Linked DNA regions of Ovis aries. The protein of the gene in region 2 interacts with the protein of the main gene of each other region in a biochemical or structural test. Links are inferred from orthologs where the notes say so. Each region holds a gene or a part of one and is shown on either strand. Other genes may lie near its edges.

Evidence for each region.
Region 1: the proteins of DNAJC3 (region 2) and THAP12 form a complex in vitro, tested with the Homo sapiens proteins (2 studies listed by BioGRID). The link is inferred for Ovis aries from reciprocal best matches to the Homo sapiens genes DNAJC3 and THAP12.
Region 3: the proteins of DNAJC3 (region 2) and EIF2AK2 form a complex in vitro, tested with the Homo sapiens proteins (2 studies listed by BioGRID). The link is inferred for Ovis aries from reciprocal best matches to the Homo sapiens genes DNAJC3 and EIF2AK2.

What each region holds. Positions count from the first base shown.
Region 1 is NC_056068.1:54,559,436-54,565,525, forward strand, and holds the start of THAP12 (52 kDa repressor of the inhibitor of the protein kinase), read right to left. Parts: upstream 3,772-6,090; 5' UTR 3,419-3,771; coding exon 3,330-3,418; intron 1-3,329. Other genes in the region: protein GVQW3, read left to right, coding at 4,397-4,861. UniProt on the Homo sapiens protein: Upstream regulator of interferon-induced serine/threonine protein kinase R (PKR). May block the PKR-inhibitory function of DNAJC3, resulting in restoration of kinase activity and suppression of cell growth.
Region 2 is NC_056063.1:72,444,616-72,450,026, forward strand, and holds part of DNAJC3 (dnaJ homolog subfamily C member 3), read left to right. Parts: intron 1-4,276; coding exon 4,277-4,382; intron 4,383-4,466; coding exon 4,467-4,587; intron 4,588-5,411. UniProt on the Homo sapiens protein: Involved in the unfolded protein response (UPR) during endoplasmic reticulum (ER) stress.
Region 3 is NC_056056.1:86,918,338-86,923,748, reverse strand, and holds part of EIF2AK2 (interferon-induced, double-stranded RNA-activated protein kinase), read right to left. Parts: intron 3,577-5,411; 5' UTR 3,560-3,576; coding exon 3,441-3,559; intron 2,480-3,440; exon of another isoform or gene 2,312-2,479; coding exon of another isoform or gene 2,292-2,311; exon of another isoform or gene 2,107-2,291; coding exon of another isoform or gene 2,029-2,106; exon of another isoform or gene 1,814-2,028; coding exon of another isoform or gene 1,764-1,813; intron 1,071-1,763; coding exon 950-1,070; intron 1-949.

The DNA.
Region 1 (6,090 bases), on a different chromosome or scaffold from region 2:
GTGTGTGTATATATATATAACTAAATCATTTTGCTGTGTAGCAGAAATAATACAACACTGGAAATAAACTATACTTCAATTTTTTTTTTTTAAGGCAAAAAATCCTAGAGTCATTCTTGACTTCTGTTTTTCTCTTACAACCTATATCTACACCATTAAAAATCCTGCTGGCTTCACCTGCCAAATAAACCTCAAACACAACTACTTACCACCTCCACCTCTATAAACTTAGATTACTGCAATTAAACCTGGATTACTCCAACTGCCTTTAACTGGTCTTTCTGCTCTCACCTTTGCTTCCCTACAATGTACTCATCAAGTTAGCCAGTGATTCTGTTAAATATTTAAGTCTCTCTTCTAAACCCTTTGAAGACTTCCTATTTCACTCAGGATGCCATTGTGCTTTCCACAGCCTACAATAACCTACACAATTTGCACCTACCACAAACACATGTACATTTTTCTGGTCTCATCTCTTCCTCTCCCATGTCCCTTTGGGCTTCCCTGGTGGCTCAGAAGGTAAAGAATCTGCCTGCAATGGGGAAGACCATGGTTTGATCCCCGGGTAGGGAAGATCTCCTGAAGAAGGGAATGGCAACCCACGCCAGTACTCTTGCCTGGAGAATTTCATGGACAGAGGAGCCAGGCAGGCTACAATACATGGAGTGGAGAAAAGAGTCAGACGCGACTGAGTGACTGACCTTCCTTAAATCAGCTTGAGGACTCCTGCTTGTACCTCTAACAAGCATGCCCTGCCTTTACATTTACTGTTTCTACAGACTGAAATGTACTTCCCCTGGACACTTCCATGGGTGACTCCCTTACCTACTTAGGGTCTTTGCTCAAATAGACTTTCTTAGTGAGGCCTTCCTGATAATCCTGTTTAAAATAGCAACTGTGCCTCCCCTGCTGCTGCTGCTAAGTCACTTCAGTCGTGTCCAACTCTGTGAGACCCCATAGACGGCAGCCCACCAGGCTCCCTGGTCCCTGGGATTCTCCAGGCAAGAACACTGGAGTGGGTTGCCATTTGCTTCTCCAGTGCATGAAAGTGAAAAGTGAAAGTGAAGTCGCTCAGTCCTGCCGGACTCTTAGCGACTCCATGGACTGCGGCCCACCAGGCTCCTCTGTCCGTGCGATTTTCCAGGCGAGAGGACTGGAGTGGGGTGCCACTGCCTTCTCCGGTGCCTCCCCTACTACTCCTATTCCCCTACCCTCCCGGGCCCCTCCCGTCAAACATTTGCTTTTTCTCCATAATATTATGACTGTGTGGATCACAATAAACTGTGGAAATTTCTGAAAGAGATGGGAATACCAGACCACCTGACCTGCCTCTTGAGAAACCTCAGGAAGCAACAGTTGGAACTGGACTTGGAACAACAGACTGGTTCCAAATAGGAAAAGGAGTATGTCAAGGTTGTATATTGTCACCTTGCTTATTTAACTTCTATGCAGAGTACATCATGAGAAATGCTGGGCTAGAAGAAGCACAAGCTGGAATCAAGATTGCCAGGAGAAATATCAATAACCTCAGATATGCAGATGACACCACCCTTATGGCAGAAAGTGAAGAGGAACTAAAAGCCTCTTGATGAAAGTCAAAGTGGAGAGTGAAAAAATTGGCTTAAAGCTCAACATTCAGAAAACAAAGATCATGGCATCTGGTCCCCATCACTTCATGGGAAATAGATGGGGAAACAGTGGAAACAGTGTCAGACTTTATTTTTGGGGGGCTCCAAAATCACTGCAGATAGTGACTGCAGCCATGAAATTAAAAGACGCTTAGTCCTTGGAAGGAAAGTTATGACCAACCTAGATAGCATATTGAAAAGCAGAGACATTACTTTGCCGACTAAGGTCCGTCTAGTCAAGGCTATGTTTTTTTCCAGTGGTCACGTATGGATGCGAGAGTTGGACTGTGAAGAAAGCTGAGCACCAAAGAATTGATGCTTTTGAATTGTGGTGTTGGAGAAGACTTTTGAGAGTCCCTTGGACTGCAAGGAGATCCAACCTGTCCATTCTGAAGATCAGCCCTGGGGTTTCTTTGGAGGGACTGATGCTAAAGCTGAAACTCCAGTACTTTGGCCACCTCATGCGAAGAGTTGACTCATTGGAAAAGACTGATGCAGGGAGGGATTGGGGCAGGAGGAAAGGGGACGACAGAGGATGAGATGGCTGGATGGCATCACCGACTCAGTCGACGTGAGTTCTGAGTGAACTCCGGGAGTTGGTGATGGACAGGGAGACCTGCCGTGCTGCGATTTATGGGGTCGCAAAGAGTCGCAGACGATTGAGCGACTGAACTGAACTGATTCATCACCATCTGATACACGGTGTATCTACTTATTTTCCCCCACTAGAATGTAAACTCCATGAGAACAGAGTCTTCGTTTTAGTTATCTATTCTCTCTCAGTGCTCAGAACAATGTCTAGTACATAGTAGGCCTTCTATAAATATTTGTAGAACAGCACGCTATATTATAATTGGCTACTTATATATACATTATATATCTACCTCCTTATATTGATTGTAAGCTTTCTGCAGGCAGGAACGCTGTCTCGTAAACTCTGAATTTCTGGGACCTCTAACGTTAGTGCCCTGACACACACAGTAGATACTGACCTGAAATGAATGAACCAACAAGACATGCCAAGGAAAAATCCTCAGACTTTCAAATACAGTCCCTACTCTATCACTCTCTAAATATAAGTGAGAGCGGGTGTGTTACCTCAAGGATGACGTTTCAATAACAACTACCAAGCCCTCTCGCGTACCCGTCCTCTCCCACGCCCGTTATCCCCACATTAACCAAGTGAGATAATGAGTAACGGTCAGAAACAGAATTTGAACCATGAACAAGTCCGAAGGAAGGGAGTAGTTGTGACTGGAGATCAAAGGTGGTCAGACTTCGAAAAGAAACATTGTCCCGGGGATAGAAGGGCCCCGGAGACCACAACCATAGATTCCAGGTCCCTCTTTTGACAGCTAGGCTAACTAAAGCCCAGAGAGGAAAGCGGCTTGTCCGAGGTCACACAATAAGCAAATCAGGGCGAGAACCCACCTTACCCACTCGCGCCGCCCAGTTGCCTCTTATTCGAGTCGTGCCCAACACGCAGAGCCCCCGCGGACACACGTGCTCCGAGGCCCCCGAGCGCCCGCCGCCCACCGCTCCAGGCCAGCTCCCCACCTCGGAGCCGGGTTTGGGTCAACAATTGTGCGCCCCCCCCCCCCAATACGCTCCTCTTAGCCCTGGAGCTTGCCCAGGGCCAGCGGTTGGCAGCACGAACCGCCGAAGAGGGCCCGGGCTACCAGCTCCGCGCCCGCCGCTCACCTGGCCGGATCCCGCGGGAACCTAAAGAAGGCCAGGTCCGATTGCGTGCTCTTCCGCGTGCAGTTGGGGGCCGCGCAGAAGTTCGGCATCGTTGTCTGCCCGCCGGCCGACCCAGCCCTCCCCTCCCCGCCTCCTCAGGGCAGCCCGCCCGCCCGTCGGGGCCGGGGAGGGGAGCCAGGCCGGCCGGCCGGCCCGTGAGGGCCGGTTCGCTGGGGGGGAGGGGCGGGCGAGAAGCCGCGAGGGGCAGGAGGGGCGCCGCGGTCCGAGGCCGGGCTGGGGACGCGGCTCCACAGTGCTGTGAGCGGCCGGGAGGATTTACCGCCGCCGCCGCCGCTGGTGCACCTCCCGCCCGCCCGGGACGCTGCCGCCTCCTTCCCACAATGCACCCTGGCGCCCGGGGGTGCCCTCTCTTCCCTCAGCCTTCCTTCCCCGCCCCCTCCTTTCCGCCGACTTCTCCCCGGGCGGGTACGCGCAAGGAAGCGCGCCCGCTCGGGTGTGGCGAAGCAGAGGCGGGGCCTGGCGCAGGCTGCCGCAGTGCGCCTGCGCACGGCCTACCCGCGAAGGGAGGGAATGGCGCATGCGGGCGTGTCTCCAGGGACTCTAGAGGCTCCAAGCCCTCTGCAGCTCCGGTAGGTTTGGCGTGCGCGGGTTTCCGCAGAGCCTGCACGTTACAACACCGATGCGTCGTTTCTTGCTTCTTTAAATTGCCACCACGTAGGCTTCTACTGCAGAGATTGCCTTAGACTCTTCAGAGCCGCGGTCAACTGGACGATCTTGGTGACTGATTTGCACACCCCCATTAGATCTTCGTGCCCGAGTTGGACGCAGACGTGGGTTGTAGGAGATTTCATTTTCCCCAGCTTTGCAGCTACACTGTGGCCCCGTTAGCTTCTAGATTGGAAGCCCCAGGGGTTAAGATTCAGAAAAGCAATTACTCTTACCTCATGAGGCTTCCAGAGGAGCAAGAATAGCGGCTTGATTCCACCTGCACCCCTATAGAGATTGATCCCTCTGTCTTTCCTTCACAGTTGTGGCATTTTAACGTTCTGTGTTGCTTAAGCCCCAAAATGAGTGACCGATACCTAGAACAAAGGATTAGTATCAAATTTTGCGTGAAACTGAACAAGTCTGCAAGTGAGACTCACCATCTTTTAAAAGAAGCTTACGGGGATGAAGTCATGTCAAGGGCCAGAGTTTTCGACTGGCACAAAAGGTTTAAAAAAGGACGCGAAGACATTCGAGATGATGCCAGAAGTGGTCGTCCTGTCACCCACCGGACGGATGAAAATATTAAGAAAGTCAAGGACTTGGTCTGTTCGAATAGGCAGTTAACCGTGAGGATGATGGCCGAAGAGTTAAATTTAGATAAAGAAACTGTTAGGCTCATTCTGAAAGAAAACTTGAATATGAGGAAAGTATCTGCAAAAGTTATATCGGGTATTTTGAAGGATGAACCTAAACCTCGGAAACTTGACTTTTGCTCTGATCTTTCAAAGGAAACTAGGAAAAACAGCTCATGTGTGAGGAAAAAGGTAAGGAATTCTGAAGCATGCAGTCATCTCCAATGAGAAGCTGGTGAGGAAATGCCTCTGCCTGTATCCCATCCCAAAATCCGTTTCCCTGCCAGCCAGCTGCTGCAGACTTGTCTTCAACCAGCCTTCCCAGCAGGACAGCTCAGGGTTGGTTCACACACCGTGGTGAAAGGAATGTGGGGTGGCTGAACCCAAACTGGAAAGCTGCCTAGCAGTTAGGCACCTTCATTTGCTGCTCATTTATTTTCAGCGTCTTTACTGCTCCTCTCTGTATGTCATATCTCTGCTAGTCACTCTTTACTGAACTCGTGGGCCAGCTTCCTTGCCATTTTCCACAACTTTGAAGAATTTTTGGCTATTGACTTCTGGTACTTGCTTGTGCTTAATTTTTTCCCCTTAACAAGTTTTTTCTTCACTGACCAGACCTTAGCTTGATGTGGCTGTCCTCTTCCTTTGTTCTCAGTATTCTGCCTCGGATCATACGAATGAAAGGTGGGAGCATGACCTCTTGGAGTCTTTCTCTCTGTGTGCCTAGGGAGGCATACTCTGCTGGGAGGACCCTGAAAGAAGGCCTACAGTTCCAACTTGCTTCACAGTCAGGGCCTGAGGTATGGTACAGAAGGCAGTGGCATGCTGACATATGGAGCAATGCTAAGGGCCTGTCCAGCCCAAATGACTCAGAGGGAGCCCCTCAGAACTCAGGAGTTAGCCTCCCATCCTGACTTTCTCACAGACCTACCCCTCACAGAAGAGCTGGGTTTGTTTCATTCTAATCTTGTGCTTTGGACTCCCCTCCACCCACTTCATTTGGGTGTATCCTGTCTCATGGAGAAGGAGGATCTGGTCCTGAAAAATATAAACCAGAGGATTCAGGTCCAGGCTATGATGTGTATAGAGTAAGAAAAGGTAACACTCTAGACCTTGAATTCAGGCAGTCTTTTGCCTCTGTGCTGATCCCACATATCAGCTATTTTTAGTAACTAATACCAACATTGTCAGGTATTTTTTTGAACACCTTCAGTGTTTAGAACACTGCTGAGCACTGACAGTATGAGGTTATGAAATAAGATCACCAAGGGCTGGGTGGACTTCATGCATGAGGTGGTTCCTGGACTGGATCCTTAGGAAATTAGGCACATTTCCAGGCAGGTAGAACAGAATGAGGTTTTGAACCTCTTGTCAGTAGGAAAATGAGGGCACTATTGGATGAAATAGCAAAGTCTAAAGAG
Region 2 (5,411 bases):
TAGTTTTGTGTGGGAGACGGGCATATAAACTGAGTATTAACAGGTACTATAGTAATATATCTAGAGTGATGGCGATGTATACAGAGTAAGCAGACATTTTCTCTCGGTATAGGATTCAGGGTTAATAGTTCTTTTCTTACATCTGAAAAATACTGTATAATTTCTTTCTGGCTTCTGTGGGTCCTGATGAGAAATCCATTGTCCTTTTAATTGTTTTTTTTCCCTCCCAAAGATAAGGTGTCATTTTTCTTGGACTGGCAGGGATTTCTTTGTATTTGTACTGTTTGGAGTATGCTTAGCTTCTTGGATATGTATGTTTATGTCTCTTGTCAAATTGGAAAGTTTCCAGCCATTATTTCTGGGAATCCCTTTTCAGCCCAGCCCTCTCTCTCTTTTCTGTCTAGAACTCGGACTGACATAAATATTTAGTTCAGTTCAGTCTCTCAGTTGTGTCCGACTCTTTGCGACCCCATGAACCACTGCACGCCAGGCCTCCCTGTCCATCACCAACTCCTGGAGTTCACTCAAACCCATGTCCATCGAGTTGGTGATGCCATCCAGCCATCTCATCCTCTATTGTCCCCTTCTTCTCCTGCCCTCAATCTTTCCCAGCATCAGAGTCTTTTCACATGAGTCAGCTCTTCGCATCAGGTGGCTAAAGTATTGGAGTTTCAACTTCGACATCAGCCCTACCAATGAACACATAGGACTGATCTCCCTTAGGATGCATCGACTGGTTGGATCTCCTTGCAGTCCAAGGGACCCTCAAGAGTCTTCTCCAATACCACAGTTCAAAAGCGTCAATTCTTTGGCACTCAGCTTTCTTTATAGTCCAACTCTCACATCCATACATGGCTACTGGAAAAACCATAGCCTTGACTAGACGGACCTTTGTTGGCAAAGTAATGTCTCTGCTTTTCAATATGCTGTCTAGGTTGGTCATAATTTTCCTTCCAAGGAATAAGTGTCTTTTATTTTCATGGCTTCAGTCACCACCTGCAGTGATTTTGGAGCCCAGAAAAATAAAGTCTGACACTGTTTCCACTGTTTCCCCATCTATCTTACATGAAGTGATGGGACCAGATGCCATGATCTTCATTTGCTGAATGTTGAGCTTTAAGCCAACTTTTTCACTCTCCTCTTTCACTTTCATCAAGAGGCTCTTTAGTTCTTCTTCACTTTCTGCCATAAGGGTAGTGTCATCTGCATATCTGAGGTTATTGATATTTCTCCCAGCAATCTTGATTCCACCTTGTGCTTCCTCCAGCCCAGCGTTTCTCATGATGTACTCTGCGTATAAATTAAATAAGCAGGGTGACAATATACAGCCTTGACGTACTCCTTTTCCTATTTGGAACCAGTCTGTTGTTCCATGTCCAGTTCTAACTGTTGTTTCTGACCTGCATATAGGTTTCTCAAGAGGCAGGTCAGGTGGTCTGTATTCCCATCTCTTTCAAAATTTTCCACAGTTTATTGTGACCCACACAGTCAAAGGCTTTGGCATAGTCAATAAAGCAGAAATAGATGTTTTTCTGGAACTCTCTTGCTTTTTCCCTGATCCAGCGGATGTTGGCAATTTGGTCTCTGGTACCTCTGCCTTTTCTAAAACCAGCTTGAACATCAGGAAGTTCATGGTTCATGTATTGCTGAAGCCTGTCTTGCAGAATTTTGAGCATCACTTTACTAGCGTGTGAGATGAGTGCAATTGTGCGGTAGTTTGAGCATTCTTTGGCATTGCCTTTCTTTGGGATTGGAATGAAAATGGACCTTTTCCAGTCCTGTGGCCATTGCTGAGTTTTCCAAATTTGCTGGCATATTGAGTGCAGCACTTTCACAGCATCGTCTTTCAGGATTTGAAATAGCTCAACTGGAATTCCATCACCTCCACTAGCTTTGTTCGTAGTGATGCTTTCTAAGGCCCACTTGACTTCACATTCCAGGATGTCTGGCCCCAGGTGAGTGATCACACCATCATGATTATCTGGGTCATGAAGATCTTTTTTGTACAGTTCTTCTGTGTATTCTTGCCACCTCTTCTTAATATCTTCTGCTTCTGTTAGGTCCCTACCATTTCTGTCCTTTATTGAGTCCATCTTTGCATGAAATGTTTCCTTGGTATTTCTACTTTTCTTGAAGAGATCTCTAGTCTTTCCTGTTATATTGTTTTCCTCCATTTCTTTGCATTGATTGCTGAGGAAGCTTTCTTCTCTCTCCTTTCTATTCTTTGGAACTCTGCATTCAGATGCTTATATCTTTCCTTTTCTCCTTTGCTTTTCACTTCCCTTCTTTTCACAGCTATTTGTAAGGCCTCCTTGGATAGCCATTTTGCTTTTTTGCATTTCATTTTCTTGGGGATGGTCTTGATTCCTATTTCATGTACAAAGTCATGAACGTCCTACATTTGTTCATCAGGCACTCTCTATCAGATCTGGTCCCTTAAATCTACTTCTCACTTTCACAAATATTAGATTTTTTTTTTTTTTTTTGGTTTTAGCCCCACAGTCCCTGCAGCTCTATTCATTTCTGTTTTTCATTTTCTCTGTTGTTCAAATTTAGTAATTTCTGTTGTTTGAATTCACTGACCCTTTCTCAGTCCTCTGCATTCTGCTGTTGAGCACATGCGGTGAGCTTTTTATTTCGGTTTTTATACTTTTCAGTTCTAAAAATTCTATCTGGAATTTTTATATCTTCTATTTCTTTGCTGAGACTTTCCATTTCTTTTCTGAGGCATTATATTTTTCCATTTGCTTTTAGCCTGCTTGTTAATTGCTTTTTTTTGTGTGTGTGTGGCTACTTTAAAATCTTTGTCATAATTCTAACATCCCTGTCCTCTTGGTGGTGTTTGGAGATCCTGTTTCTTGGTATGATGATTAGTTTTTAATTGAAATCTGGATATTTTCATTTTATAAGATTCTGGTTTTTGATTCTTCTGTTTTGGGTGGCTTTTTCTGACATTGTTTCTGCAAAGTGAGCATGAGGGGCTGGAGGGTGGGCACCACCTGGTTAACTGGAAGATGAATGTAGACGTTTCCCAGTTGGCCTTTGTTGCTGCTCAAGCTGTGGGATTCTCCTGCTACTGCTTGGTGTAGGTGAGAGTTTGGGGGACTCAGTTCTGATCAGGGGTGAAAGTTCTGGCTCCCAACTTGATGTTCTCCAGCACCACCTTGGTTGGGATGTGGACACACCTCATTAGAGGCTCACCAGAGGTCTTGTGAGCTGCTGATGTTGGTGGGGGTTGGGGCCATAATTTTCTCATGCTTGCAAGGTGTTGACACAGGCGTCCAGCTGGAGGGGTGGGGAAACCGCCTCTGCTCCACCTTCCCAGAGGCTTTTTTTTTTAAGTGAAGCACATTATTTTCTAATTGAGCTTTCTTTCTGATGTAAAAATAGTTTATTATGATATCGTTTATGTAAAGTTAGATACTGTTTGTAATTGAACTTTTAATTTCTAATATTAGTTTCATGTGTGGTTTTAAGAGAGAAAGTGAGGCCTCACACGCTCTGTATAGTTTCCCCCCCATGTTAGAAATCTACAAAACAGCATCCCAACTAGGATTTTGACATTGATGGCTACCTTTTGCTCTAAGTGTTATCTTTAAACCTGTATTTTAATAAAGCAGCATTTAAATGTGAAGATTGTAGCACTTTTGGAATAATCTGCCACAGCAGCATGTAGATATATCTTACAGTTTGTTGTTACTGAGGAAAGTAACAGTGCATAACATGACTAGTATTTTTCACCAGTTTAAAACAATTCTGAAGTAGCTTTTATTGTTCTTAGAAAGTTAGTAAAGTTGGGGGTTTCTTCTGCAAGAAATTACCTTGTATTCAGTTATGAATATTGATATTTATTATATAAAATAACACATAATGGGTTCTGTGATTTTATAAAATGTGTAGTAACCAAGTGTGTAAAACCTGATCTCAGTTGTCTACAAGGTGCTTTGTGGCAGTCAGACTTTAACAAAGTGTTTTCCTCAGCTTCAAAATCAAGAACTGCTTTCTATAAAGAATCCGTCATTTGATTTGATCAGTTAGTACTCAAAAAGGGTGCTTTAATTTATCCATATACTTTTTCTGTGGCCAGGTGTTTCAACCCTTACTTGCAGAGAGAACCTTCATTACTACTGTAGATTATAAGGGAGAAGGAGTCTTTGAGGGCATGTGCTCATTCAGGTCAGTTGATGAAGCCACAGATAGTGATGAGTAGAGGGTCCTTTTCTTTAGCTCTGGAAATAGAATTCAGTTTACTCATCATGATTTGATCATTTAATAGGTACACAGATGCAATCAGCAAATATGAATCTGTCATGAAAACAGAGCCAGGTGTTCATGAATACACAATTCGTTCAAAAGAAAGGATTTGCCACTGCTTTTCTAAGGTAAATTGCTGACTCATTTCCAGAATTGTAAAACTTGACATATGGAATAACAACCATAAGTTCTTTTCTTACGTTTACCTTTAGGATGAGAAGCCTGTTGAAGCTATTCGAGTATGTTCAGAAGTTTTACAGGTAGAACCTGACAATGTGAATGCTCTGAAAGACCGAGCAGAGGCCTATTTAATAGAAGAAATGTATGATGAAGGTAAATCTTTAAGGAATTTGATACGCAATACCTCGAAGTTGATATATGTGCAGTTAGTCCGTTTAATATCCTTTTGTTTAGAACAAGTTTACCTGGAGATGTTGGTGATTTTAGAAAAATGGCAGAGAACCTAAAAATCATTTTCTTAGTAAATCATACTTTCTTGGTGGAACATGAAAGATATACCATGTAAGGAAAGAGTTCTGCTGTTGAATCCAGTACAGAGGAATATAAAAATAAAAATTTTAGCTTGCTTTATTGTAGACAAGTTAGAAAAGATGAATAACAAACTAGAAAACTCAAGTTACAGATCTCATATCATGCAGAGGTAATCACTGCTCATTTTGGATTTATATCTTTCAGAGTTTTATCTATGCATATATATGAGTGTGTGTTTTATGCCTCTGTACGTATTCTGTGCATATACATGTTAGACATACATCAGACATATATGTGACGTATATGCCTAAATATAAAATAACCCTCTATGATCCCTAGAAAGTGTGAAAGTGTTAGTCACTCAGTTGCTCAGTTGTGTCCGAGTCTTTGTGCCTCCATGGACTATAGCCGCCAGGCTCCTCTGTCCATGGAATTCTCCAGGTAAGAATACTGGAGTGGGTTGCCATTCCCTTCTCCAGTAGATCTTCCCTATCCAGGGAGTGAACCTGGGTCTCCCACATTGCAAGCTGTTAGTAAATGTCAGGACAGCTGCTTATCCAGCTTTGTTCAAGTAGCAGAGAGAGTTTCCTGCTAGATGTTGTAAGCACCTTGAATAAAAGCAGTGCTCTATTTTTGGAGGATAACCAAGGCCAATACAGTAGTCG
Region 3 (5,411 bases), on a different chromosome or scaffold from region 2:
GTATTTTTTTGGCTGCACTGTATGGTACTTGGGATCTTAGTTCCCAGACCAGGGATCAAACCTGTGCCCCCTAAGGTGGAAGCCTAGAGTCTTAACCACTGGACCACCAGGAAGATCCCATTGAGTAAGATTTTTTATGAAAGTATCTTGAATACTGAAATTCTGAAAAATTTTGAAAATTTGAGAATGATTCATTTTTGTCTCATGTAAAATGACTTTCTGCCTCATTTTACAGATGCTGCTCCAGTGTCGTCTGGTTTTTAAGGGTAGCATGGGCAGCATGATTTTTTTTCATTTTTATATTTTGTATAAGTTGTTCTGCCTGGATACTTGCAGGATTCTTTCTTCATCCCTGGAGCTCAGTCCTTTCACAAAGGCCAGTGTTGTTCTTGGTGGTTCCATATTTTTCAGTATCTTCTGAGCCGCTGAGTGGTTTCAATCTGCAGGTAGCTCTTTCTTTATTTCATAAATACTTTCTACTGTTCTTTTCAGAGACAGCTTTTTCTGTACTAGCTACTTACTTTGTCTGCATCTTCAGCAATACCAGCTATACAGATGTTACTTTTGCACCATCTGCCCTCTGTATATTAATATACCATTTTCCTCATGGTTCCTTCTCTCTCTGCCCTTTTCCACTGCATTCCCTCAAGCAGGTGCAGGGGCTCCTTCCAGATCCTGTTAGCTCATTTCTCACTGTTTCCTTAGAGTATGTTACTGCTGCTGGCACTCTAAATAGGTAGTGCCCATCTTGCCCATCTTTTTGAGATGGACCTCTCATTCAGGGTTCTATAGAAATAAGCCCAGGAAAAAGACTGAACTAAACTTTGAAAGCAAAAGAACTTGTGAATGGTTTTATTCTGCATGTGAGTATTTTCTCATAGGACAGGGAAAAATGCCATAGATATTTGTGAGTTCCCTTTCACAATGGAAAAAGAAGGCAATTACTCACCTTACGGTCTTTATTAATCATTTCCAAAGCTAATTTGGCTGCAGCGTTTTTGGCTTCCTTCTTTGATTTACCTTCAGCCTTTGGATATTCTTTCTCATCTATTATAACTTGATATGTAAACCTGATTACAATGAAAAATTCAAAGAACATCATAAATTCATGCATTATTTAACTAGCATTCCAATCATAACTGCCTTCTATGACTACCTTTGAAAATTTTAACCTGTGTTCCACATAGAATAATCATAAGGAATTTGATTTAGGCCATTCAGGTATGATCTAAATCAAAGCCCTTACGATTATACAGTGGAAGTGACAAATAGATTCAAGGGGTTAGATCTGATAGACAGAGTGCCTCAAGAACTATGGACGGAGGTTCATAACACTGAACAGGATGCAGTGATCAATACCATCCCCAAGAAAAAGAAATGCAAAAAGGCAAAATGGTTGCCTGAGGAGGCCTTACAAACAGCTGAGAAAAGAAAGAGAAACAAAAGGCAAAGGAGAAAAGGAACATTACACCCATGTGAATGCAGAGTTCCAAAGATTAGCAGGGAGAAAGAAGAAAGCCTTCCTAAGTGATCAATGGAAAGAAATAGAGAAAAACAATAGAATGGGAAAGACTAGAGATCTCTTCAAGAAAATTAGAGACACCAAGGGAACATTTCATGCAAAGGTGGGCACAATAAAGGACAGAAACGGTATGGACCTAACAGAAGCAGAAGCTATTAAGAAGAGGTGGCAAAAATACACAGAAGAACTGTACAAAAAAGATCTTCATGACCCAGATAACCATGATGGTGTGATCACTCACCTAGAGCCAGACATCTTGGACTGTGAAGTCAAGTGGGACTTAGGAAGCATCACTATGAACAAAGGTAGTGGAGGTGATGGAATTCCAGTTGAGCTATTTCAAATCCTAAAAGATCATGCTGTGAAAGTGCTACACTCAATATGCCAGCAAATTTGGAAAACTCAGCAGTGGCCACAGGACTGGAAAAGGTCAGTTATCACTCCAATCCCAAAGAAAGGCAATGCCAAAGAATGTTCAAATTACCGTACAATTGCACTCATGTTACCTGCTAGCAAAGTAATGCTCAAAATTCTCCAAGTGAGGCTTCAACGGTACATAAACCAAGAACTTCCAGATGTTCAAGCTGGATTAAGAAAAGGCAGAGGAACCAAGATCAAATTGCCAACATCCGTTGGATCATCGAAAAAGCAAGAGAACTCCAGAAAAACATCTACTTCTGTTTCATTGACTAAACTAAAGCCTTTGACTGTGTGCATCACAAAAAAATGTGGAAAATTCTTAAAGAGATGGGAATACCAACCACCTTACCTGCCTCCTGAGAAATCCATATGCAGGTCATGAACCAACAGTTAGAAGCAGACATGAAACAATGAACTGGTTCCAAATTGGGAAAGGAGTATGTCAAGGTTGTATATTGTCACCCTGCTTATTTAACTTATACGCAGAGTACATCATGCGAAATGCCAGGCTGGATGAAGCGCAAGCTGGAATCAAGACTGCCAAGAGAAATATGAATAACCTAAAATACACAGATGACACCACCCTTTGGTAGAAAGTGAAGAAAGAGCCTACTGAAGAAGGTGAAAGAGGAGAGCGAAAAAGTTGGCTTAAAATTCAACATTCTAATGGCAAATAGATGGGAAAACAATGGAAATAATGACAAACTTTATTTCCTTGGGCTCCCAAATCACTGCACATGGTGACTGCAGCCATGAAATTAAAAGACGCTTGCTCCCTGGAAGAAAATCTATGACCAAACTAGACAGTATATTAAAAAGCACAGATATTACTTTCCCAACAAAGGTTCATGTAGTCAAAACTATGGTTTTTTCAATAGTCATATTGATGCTTTTGAACTCTGGTGTTGGGAAAGACTCTTGAGAGTCCCTTGGACTGCAAGATCAAACCAGTCAATCCTAAGGGAAATCAGTCCTGAATATTCATTGGAGGGACTGATGCTGAAGCTGAAGCTCCAATACTCTGGCCACCTGATACAAAGAGCTGACTCATTAGCAAAGACCCTGAGGCTGGGAAAGATTGAAGGCAGAAGGAGAAGGGGACGACAGAGAATGAGATGGTTGGATGGTATTACCAGCTCGATGGACATGAGTTTGAGCAAACTCTGGGAGATAGTGAAGGACAGGGAAGCCTGGCGTGCTGCAGTCCACGGGGTTGCAAAGAGTCGGGCATGAGTGAATGACTGAACCACCACCACCACACAGAATCCAAGCAGTCACCCCAAAGAGCAAAACAGCGCACCATTGTGAAGCATGGAAAGGTTTACACACCGTTTTTTCTCTGGAGTCCTCTGAAGTTATCACTTTACATCGAAAAGACTCACCATCTTCTCTGGCAGCTTTGCTCTCATGCTAAAGAACTGACTTCAAAATTGTGCCAAAATTGCTATTCTCCCAGTTTTAATTTTATATGGATATACCTTTTCTTATAGCAACTTACCTATAATTATGTGGAAGTCCTGTCTTAGCCAGTTCACAATACCTAACTTCTACACAGTTCTTTTGTTGGTATTTATTAAGTTCTTCTATGTAGAAACATGGTGAACGACCAGTGGCCATTTTTTTCCTCTAGTAACCTACAAAAAAAGAGATTTTTGAAAGAAGTGATATACTCAGAAAATATTTAATTTCCCCAATTCAGTTTAAGAGATAAAACAGGGTAAGATGACTCTCCTTTATACGACTCATCTCAGCCCCGCAAAAATCCGGAGAAAACTTTCTTACAAGATCTTTCTCTCCCTCTCGCGGACTACAAAATCAAGTTAATTTCTCCAAGATTTTCTACTTTCAAAACTCAACTGGCCAAAAAAGGATGGACGTCCTTCTCCTTAACTTTTCTTTCTGCTTCCCCTGAGTGTCAAGTGCAAGTCTGTCCATCTGCTTAAAAAGATAAAAGCCTGAAGGAAGAGAATTAGAATTATTTTTGTTGAGAATAAAAAGGTTGAGTGTATATATAAAGTTTATGAAATCATGAAGGATTTAGTTGTACGGACAAAGATTCTCCTATGAAACCCCACAAAACTTCCACTTGAAATTTTCAGAAGTCAGCTTTAGGACAATTTACTTGGTAGACAAATTAGGCCCTAGTTTATGGTTCTCACTGGATGAAGACAGTAACAATGATTCAAATTACAAATAAAACCTAAAGAATATAGAATCTAAATATAAGAGCCAAAGCTGTAAAACTTTAAAAGTAAATATAAGGGTGAATCTTCACAATCTTAGATTTGGCAGTGGAATCTTACCTATGACAGCAAAAGCATAGCAACAAAAGAAAACATAAATAAACTGGACCTCATCAAAATTAAAAATATTTGCATATCAAAGGACACTATGAGGAAAATGAAAAGACAGTCTTCAGAAAGGGATTTTTATAAATAATATATCTGATAAAGATCTGGTATCCAGAATATACGAAGAACTTTTACAACTCAACAATAAAAAGAGTTAAGAAATTAAAAAATAGGCAAAGGATTGAATAGATATTTCTCCCAAGAAGACATACAAATGGCCAACAAGCACACGAAAAGATGTTCAATATCATTACTTATTAGACAAATACAAATCAAAACCACAACTAGATTCTACTTCACACCCACTAGGCTGGTAATAATAATAATAGAGAAAATAAATGTATTGGTGAGAATATAGAGAAATTGGAAACCTCATATATCACTGATGGAATGTAAAGTAATGCAGGCTCTATGATATTTGACGGTTCCTCAAAGAGTTAAACTTAGAATTACCGTGAAAGTGAAAGTCACTCAGTCGTTTCTGACTCTCTGCAACCCCATGGACTCTACAGTCCATGGAATTCTACAGGCCAGAATACTGGAATGGGTCACCTTTCCCTTCTCCAGCAGATCTTTCCAACCCAGGGATCGAACCCAAGTCTACCGCATTGCAGGAGAATTCTCTTACCAGCTGACCCACAAATACCACCCATCAATTTCACCCCTTTGGTGTATATCCAAAGAATTGAAAAACAGGTTTTCAAATACTTACACAGGAATATGCAAAGCAGCACTAGTCACAATAATCCAAAAGTAGAAACAAATCAAGTATCTATCAGCTGCAGAAAAGGTAAACACAAGGCTGTACATCTACACATGGAATCTTATTCAGCCCTAAAAAGGGTAACGTATTGAAACACGCTATACCATGGTTAAACGTCAAACCATGCTAAACTAAAGAAGTCAGACATAAACAGTAACAGAGCATGTGATTCCATTTATGCGAAACATCCAGAATAAGTAAATCCATAGACAGAAAGTGGTCCCTGTTGACCTCTCGTTTCTTATCAGAAAGCTCTTCTGATTTTCCTTCTTCAAAGGTCACAAGTTCTTTCTGACACTCCTTAATCTCCACAGCCTTTACATGCTGGAGTTTCCCCCAAGACTTGGTCCAAAAA